Oryzias latipes: one gene and its partner. The protein of the gene in region 1 binds, or shares a complex with, the protein of each later gene. Links are inferred from orthologs where the notes say so. Each region holds a gene or a part of one and is shown in the gene's direction. Other genes may lie near its edges. The genes, in order: polr3b and polr3gl.

Region 1 (3,921 bases):
TGTTTTTAGCCAAAATGAAAGGCACTATACAAATCAATAAAGTTTGAAGTTTAAATTAGTTTGGGTTTTCTCCTGGAGCTCAGGTTTGCCCTAAAAAAAACTCTTCATCACTTATTAATATTGTTGCTTATTGTTAAAATTATAGAAATTAAAACTGTTTATTTAAATTAATATTTGTCAATCAATCAATTAATCAGTCAATGAATTAATAAGTCAATTAATCAATCGCTCAGTCAATCAATGAATGTATGAATGAATGAATCAATGAAAGAAAGAATGTAATGCAACCACAGGGGAGCACAATCCAACTCTCTTGTGCCGGTCCCAAGTCCGGATAAATGCAGAGGGTTGTATGAAAGCAAAACTAAATTAAATATATCAATCACAAACAGAGTTAATATCTAACTGTATGTATGTATGTATGTATGTATGCATGTATGTATGCATGCATGCATACATGCATGCAGGTCGGTTCATCCTGCAGCGCCAGTTCTGCTTACCAAAACTGGCCCACTAGGCGGCTCGCATTCCATGGATTACTTCATACAATTTTTCTTGTAAAATATTGAGCAACTATGATTGCAAAACCATTCTTATTACAGTTTTTCTCCATTGGTTTGGCTCATTTCTTGAAACAGAAATTACATTCTCAAAACAACATGGACAAACTTCCAAACCACTCTGCAATTGTTCACAGCAGAATGGAATTTCTCATTAGTTTCATCAAATTGCAAATGTCTTAGTACTTGTCTCAATGTCTCAGTACATCTTTGCAATTGATTAAGTACAGGTAGCCTTCATTTAGCACAATTTCCAAGTGAATAGATCTTGTTGATCTAAACTGATTGTTGATTCTCAGTCTAATGGTTGTTCTCTCCAAAATGAGTCAGCATCATTTCATTGTGTAAGTCATCACATGCACAATAGTCTGAACATTATACCATGAATATGATATTTATGAATCCCTTGGAACATTTGATAAATTTAATACAGAAACTGACAGTGAGGTGAAACTAGAACTTGACTAACGAAGGAGGATGTCCCAGGATGTCCCATAGATAGATAAAATGAACTTTATTAATCTCCCAAGGGAGATACTCAGGTGTCTGGCAGCAAAACACACACAATAAATAACAATAAAATAACAGTTCATAAAAAAAGCAGTTCATATCAGGCAGATTTGTTAAACAGCCTAATAGCTGAAAGGAGCCTATAACTCCGCGGCTCCTCTGTGCTTTGCTGACGGTCACAAACTAACAGACTGAGTAATTTCATCTCCTTTTTTGTCTATCTGATGAAAACAGTGATTCAATTTGAATTGTTGTTCAATATGTCTTTTACGTTTTTTCTGCACTTACTGCAACTAACAGACAGAGCCGGGCAGGGACCCTTCCACAACACTAGGGGGCAGCAGTACCCACCCAAAAGTGCAAAACACCGGGAGTGAAAGAAAAAGACAAACACGCGGAACCTTTCTTTCGTTCCTCCTCGAATGTACGGATGCTTTACTGCGATACACGGAACGTTGGTTTTCCAGCAGCAGTCGGTGTAAGACTGTTTTATTTATGAGTTAAAGGTTAACCAGCTATTGTTAACCATGGAGGTCCTCGGTGAAGAATTTGGAGACATGACTCCCCAGGAGTTGGCGGCTCCTGTCAACACCGTGGCTGTGAGTTTGCGTAAAAACAACACACAATTTGGCCCCTCGAGACGAGTCAATGCGGTGAGGTGGTGCGCGTGTGTTAGTTTCATGGTGGAATCAACAAAGTAAAAGTTGTGATTCTTGTTGATGTTCTTATTTCTTACGAGTCTGTTTCACGAGCCATAAATAAACTTCTAATGAATTCAAATGATGTTCCTATAGGAAATGACTAATTCATTCATTGCTAGTTCTTCATAATTTCTGCTCTGTCTCTCTCTGTCATCTTTTTCTTTATTGACAGGATAAATGGAAGCTGTTACCAGCCTTTTTGAAGGTAATAATGTTTGGGTGGCTGAGGACATGTGAAAGTCTTTTTGATTCATTTTGAGCATTTTTATGCTACTATAAAGCCCTAATAATTAAAATTAATCAGAGAACTTCAATAATCATGCAAATGCAAGCACTTCAGAAATCCTAAAAAAAAAGGGTTCTGTCCATGATCCGATCTCTTTTTATAGTTTAAGATTCAAACATTTTGCGTTGTTTTTAAAACATCCTATTACTTTAATAAATATTATTATTGTTGTTGTTGTTATTATGAAGATGACAAACCACATATATTTATAGACTGAGTCTTTAAAACTGAGATGTGGGAATCGGCTCCATAAAATTTTAATCTTTTTGTAATCTCAAGTAAAAAAAAAACAATTTAAAAAACCATATCCAATGTTTGCATAAAGCTCGGCTTTTCATAGATTTTAGGGTGTTTTAGGGTGTTGGCCCACAAATGTCTCATATTTTTGTGATGTCAGAAATGTTTTAACCTTGTCAAGTTTTTAAACAGTAAAACCAGACCAAAATGTTAGAATTTAATTGAGACCATATAGAAAAACATTAACATCTTTTAAAAACAGCATTATTTTGATATGCATAGTTGACTGCTGTTTGAATGCTTTAGCATCAGTATTTCTTCTTGTCTCTGCCTACGTTCGATCTTCTGTGTGTTCTGCAGGTGAAGGGTTTGGTGAAGCAGCACATCGACTCCTTCAACTATTTCATCAATGTGGAGGTGAGGCTCTATCCCCGCATCAGCGTTTGCCACATTTGCTGTGTTTGTCCTTGCACTTCTGTTCAAACGTCTTCCTTTTCAGATAAAGAAGATCATGAAAGCAAATGAGAAAATCACCAGTGATGCTGATCCCATGTGGTACCTGAAGTAGGTTCAATGACAGAAATTCAAACCGAACTTCCTGATAGCAAATATCCAACACATTTTTTACCCCCTGCAGATATCTAAATATCTATGTCGGCATGCCTGATGTGGAAGAAAGCTTCAACGTTACCAGACCCGTCTCTCCTCATGAGGTGAGAAAGGCAGCCGATTTCTGTATAATTTTTTTCTTTAAATATACCTATCTTAGATTAATGCAATTGAAAATAAATATTTTGCAATTTTGAACAGCCCTAAAGACTTAAATACATGCTCTCCATATCCTTCTGCATTGAAATTTGGAAATAAATACATTTTTATGTCTAAATTAGAAACTAAAATCACTTCTGTGTTTTTGAAAATGTCTTAAATTTAAAACACTACAGGTTTGAATTAATGATTGAAAATATAAACATGAAGCTATTAATGGTGCCATCAGCAGCAATTAGAAGGTCCATAAGTAGGAAATTCTGGAAACAGTTGGCCGAATTTTAATAAATTAGATAATAGGCTCAATATTTGTGCAGTTTTCCAGACATACAAGATGATCCCATTTAAGGAAGAAGCTTAAAAAATTGTGTGGTCTATCTTTGTAGAAATAAAGTAAAAGATTATTTAAGTCCAATTTTACCTTCCACTTTAATTTCCCTAAAGCTTTGAGTAAATCACAACATCTTCTCTGTTACAAACGATAATATTACAAAAATGTAAGCATCTTTGGCTCATAACATTTCAGTAGTTTATAATTTATGCCACATTCAATGGCTCAAGAAAAATCAAAACAATACTTTTTGTTTGATTTTAGATTCATTCAGAACCTATAAAATAAAATAATAAAAGCTCACTGTATGGCAGATTATCACTATAATAATAATTGATTGGATTTATCTGCGTTTTTCCAGACGCTCAAAGCGCTTACAGTTTGTCCATTATTCATTTATACTTGGTGATGGTAAGCTACTGATGTAGCCACAGCTGCCCTGGGGCAGACGGACAGAGGCCTACAGCCCCCTCTGACCATCACCGGGATCATTCATACACATTCACTCACCAGTGGAGCTGCACTGGA
Region 2 (3,921 bases), on another chromosome or scaffold:
TGCCAGAACGATACTTTATCTCATAATCATCATGGCCCATTTAAGAGCCAAGAACTCCAGCTTCATAGAGCTGCAGTTCTGCATGTTACGCTCTGTAGCTTTTAGCCCCCTACTGGCATGGCAATGGCCGCACACTGCCACCCTGCTCCTGGGACAAAACTGCACCAAGGCCATTGTGGCTGGCATCTACTTCCAGAATAAAGGGTAGTGTGAAGTCAGCACAGGCCAAAACTGGCGCTGACGTCAATTTCTGCTCACAGCACCAAGATTCCTGTGGCAGTATGGTTTCCCCTTGGATGCCTCCAGTAGAAGACTTAAAATGAAGAGCACAGGACTCTCCGACAGGAAACCAAGACTGTGCTTTTAAGAAAATAGACACCCTTTATTACAAATAGTATTAAAATTCCTATTCTGAAAGACACCCAAAAGAGTTAACCAAACCACAAGGGCCATCATGCCCAGCCCACACAGTCAGCTGCACCCAGCCGTGCGCTCTGTTGCGGCACAACAGGCTCAATGCCACGCCCCTTGCGTACAGTGGCAGTAACCGACGCCAGTCCAGGGTGGTGGGACACTGGGCTCTGGTTGTGCCCGGGGCCACAGAAGGCCGGAAGGGGGAACCCGCTCCGATAGCTCTCGATCCGGCTTCATCACGCCGCTCCCCAGTGCGTGGATGGACGGCACTCGCTGAAACGGTGTACAGAGCACACACGATCCCCGGAAATCCCGGCCGTGGCACCGCTCCTGGACAACGGTGCACCAAGGGGTCAGCGGGTTGGATAGAGCAGAAATGCAAACAAACGATGGGAAACAAAAGAAACAGCGGCACCTGCCCCCCAGCTCAGGAGGACTCTCCACAGGAGTCGCATGAGCGGCCAAACACTGCCTGCGATCCAGCTATGGTTATGGTTATGGTTATGGTTATGGCCCCACACACAGCCAAAGGCTGTTGTAAACTTAGTTCATAAATGTTAAATGAGCTGTGATGGTAGCATGCTGCTGCTGTTCTGCTGCTGCTGTTCTGCTGCTACTTCTGCTCCAATAAAACATGTCAGTTGACATGGACAGAGTGACTCTATGGGGGGGGGGGCGGGGGGGTCTCGCGCGGGGAGTAATTCAGGGTAGAACCGCCACTGCTATCGACCATAAATGTAGCTGGATTTCTGTCCTCCTGTCCGATAGGGGGCAGAAACGCGCGGCCCAACGCAGAATGCAAGCGCGCGCAAACTGCCGTAGGACATTTCCGGTGGGTAGTAGGCGGGGCGCCTGTAAAGCGAGGTCCGGGGACGGTAAACAACCGTTCGTGGTGGAGTTTGTGAAAGTCTGAACCGAACATGGAGCGCGCCGCGGGAGCGCGCACTAAGCTGCAGCCGTAACGGAAAAGCGGGAACAGGTCAGAGGAGTCATACCCGACCGAGCGCGAGCCCAGGTCAGAAGGGAGCCCGCAGGGTTCTGATGGAGCTTCACGATCAGCCTGATCGATGAGGCTGATGACGTCAGCCGAAGCCCCTGAATCAAAAACCAAAACATTTTCCTCGTTTCTCTGAAAGCAGCTCAGAACCACAGCGACCAGAGAGGCGTGACGTCATCAGGAAGCAGGGGTTCAAACGTGGGTTCTTAGGCCCCACATGCTGCAGTGTCGTCAGTGACATCATCACATACGTCATCAGGGCTGGAATGGTTCCCTGTCGAGACGGATCCGATTCCTAGTCCATATCTAGTCAATGCAGAATTCAGTCGCCGTTTTAACGCCGCCGCCAGTGATTGGTCCGAGTTGGTCTGAGTCATCGTTTCTATAGCAACCACACTGACCAACCAGGAGTGAGCTTGTTGAAAGGCCACACCCACTTGAAAGCAGGTTACAGAAATCAGTCAAACTTGGGGTTAGGGTCAGCAGGCTCCACCCACTTTCATTGAGGCGTCTGATTGGTCAGTTTATACCTTGAACTACAGAAATGAAATGAAAAATGAGGATTATCAGGAAGAGGTTCTAAAGAATCAGATCCAGAGCGGTTCCTCTGACCCATAGAACGACTGAGGAACAGCCGTTTGTAGATGTCTACGGGATTTTCCTGTTTGGAACGCTAGGGGGCGGGGCCACTCGGTCCAGTTCCCACATGCAGTCACTGGTTTATTCCCGTTTTTTCCTCTGGAAATGCCTGTATACTGCCACCTGCTGGAACAGACGCTACATGACATCAGGTTCTGAGGGGATGGAAGGAACAACCGAAAACGATCAAACACACCTGAAAGGCCTTGATGCGCTTCCCTCTGACCTGAAAAGGGGGAGTGGTCATTGGGCTGTGTGACAGGGGCGGGGCTTACCCCGTGGACGTATCCTGATTTACAGTGGGGTCCTGTTGTGTCTTTAGGGCGGTTCTGGCTCGGTCCGGTTTTGTCTGAGGGGGACCAGCCATGGCGGGACGAGGGCGGGGCCGTAGGCCTTTCGGCACGGACTCGAGCATCAGCAGGGGAGAAGGTCTCCCCCCAGGACTTCAGCAGCCCACGCCTGTGTTTCCTGTAAGCCCCGCCCACACCAGGAAAACCCCTCATTTATATTTAAGTGTTATTCTTTTTGGTTGAATGAAATCCCTCTGTTGTTGTTTTCATTGTTTGTTAAAGCTGTTCATGTCATTCTGAACCTTGTGGGTTATTATGGGATGTCACTGACGTCTACGTTAGGCAGACATTTATCGTCTCGACGTGAACCGTAACAAACAACAGATGCAGGAAAGAGGAGCTCTGACATTTTTCTGCTCTGACACCAACAGTTGGGGTAATGCGCTGATTTTGAAGCACTGAATTCTGGGATTTGAAGTTGGTGGATTTGGTGTCCAGGTGATGGAGCAGAAGCCCCTCCCCCTGGCAGGTGGAGAAGAAGCAGAGTATCTATTGGCCCTGAAGCAGGATTTTAGAGGAGTGATGAAGAATCTGCCATTCTTCATCAAGCCAGCAGCAGCACAGCGAGGTCACACACGTGCACACACACACGCGCGCACACACACACGCAGTCTTATTTTGAAAGTCCTGCTTTCTTCCTGTGCAGATGTTCAGCGCTACTCGGACAAATATCACAGCAGCGAGCAGACGAACAGCCTCACGGACTGGAACCTGGGTGAGACGCCGTTACCACGGTAACATCCAATGAAAACGCCATCAGAACCTTCATGTCTGCACGTCTCTGGATTTCAGACTGGAGACGATTCCCCAGAGAGCTGCAGGTCCACATCAGGAGGAGAGTCAGAGAAGGCGAGTAATCCCATTACTCAGTACTCTGGGTACCTTACTGACTCGTCTGAACAGTATTCATCAGCAGTAATCAGATTACTCAGGGGGGTGAGCATCAGCTGCTGTCTCCCTCAGGTCTGGCCTTCAGCACCATGGATAGTTCTGTGCCAGTCCAGAAGAAGAAGAAGAAGAAGGAGGAAGAGGAGGTGCTGCTCAAACTGGAGGTGAAGGGTTTCTATAGAACCTCTGATGATGATGATGATGATGATGATGATGGCTTTAATGGAAGTGTCTGCAGACCCTGGAGAAGAAGGAGGAGCATGAGCAGAGCTCAGAGGAGGAGGAGGGAGGGGTGAAGAAGAAGCCGGAGGAGGAGGAGGGAGCAGAGGCAGAGGAGGAGTATGATGAGGAAGAACTGGAGGAGGTACGTGGTCAGCAGGCCTGGGTCAGAACCACGGAGGCTCTGCAGGTCTAACTGGACCCTCTGTGCAGGAAACCGACTACATCATGTCGTACTTCGACAACGGCGAGGAATTCGGCGGCGACAGCGACGACAACATGGACGAGGCCATTTACTGAGCAGCTGCTGCACGTGCACGCCACGTGCACGCGTGTGACTGAAGAGGCAGTCCAACCTGGTGTCACCTGCTGCTCCAATAAACAGACGGTCACGTGACCTCGTGTGTCGACCTG

Evidence for each region.
Region 2: polr3b (region 1) and polr3gl share a complex: the UniProt entries of both Homo sapiens proteins name them as parts of the RNA polymerase III (Pol III) complex. The link is inferred for Oryzias latipes from reciprocal best matches to the Homo sapiens genes POLR3B and POLR3GL.

Annotation. Positions count from the first base shown.
Region 1 is NC_019864.2:21,469,083-21,473,003, forward strand, and holds the start of polr3b (DNA-directed RNA polymerase III subunit RPC2), read left to right. Parts: upstream 1-1,480; 5' UTR 1,481-1,597; coding exon 1,598-1,723; intron 1,724-1,943; coding exon 1,944-1,976; intron 1,977-2,654; coding exon 2,655-2,711; intron 2,712-2,793; coding exon 2,794-2,858; intron 2,859-2,931; coding exon 2,932-3,007; intron 3,008-3,921. UniProt on the Homo sapiens protein: Catalytic core component of RNA polymerase III (Pol III), a DNA-dependent RNA polymerase which synthesizes small non-coding RNAs using the four ribonucleoside triphosphates as substrates.
Region 2 is NC_019874.2:32,576,206-32,580,126, reverse strand, and holds the start of polr3gl (DNA-directed RNA polymerase III subunit RPC7-like), read left to right. Parts: upstream 1-1,234; 5' UTR 1,235-1,393; exon of another isoform or gene 1,394-1,429; intron 1,430-2,372; 5' UTR 2,373-2,415; coding exon 2,416-2,520; intron 2,521-2,771; exon of another isoform or gene 2,772-2,838; coding exon 2,839-2,968; intron 2,969-3,046; coding exon 3,047-3,115; intron 3,116-3,192; coding exon 3,193-3,249; intron 3,250-3,363; coding exon 3,364-3,452; intron 3,453-3,517; coding exon 3,518-3,652; intron 3,653-3,720; coding exon 3,721-3,807; 3' UTR 3,808-3,921. UniProt on the Homo sapiens protein: DNA-dependent RNA polymerase catalyzes the transcription of DNA into RNA using the four ribonucleoside triphosphates as substrates. Specific peripheric component of RNA polymerase III which synthesizes small RNAs, such as 5S rRNA and tRNAs.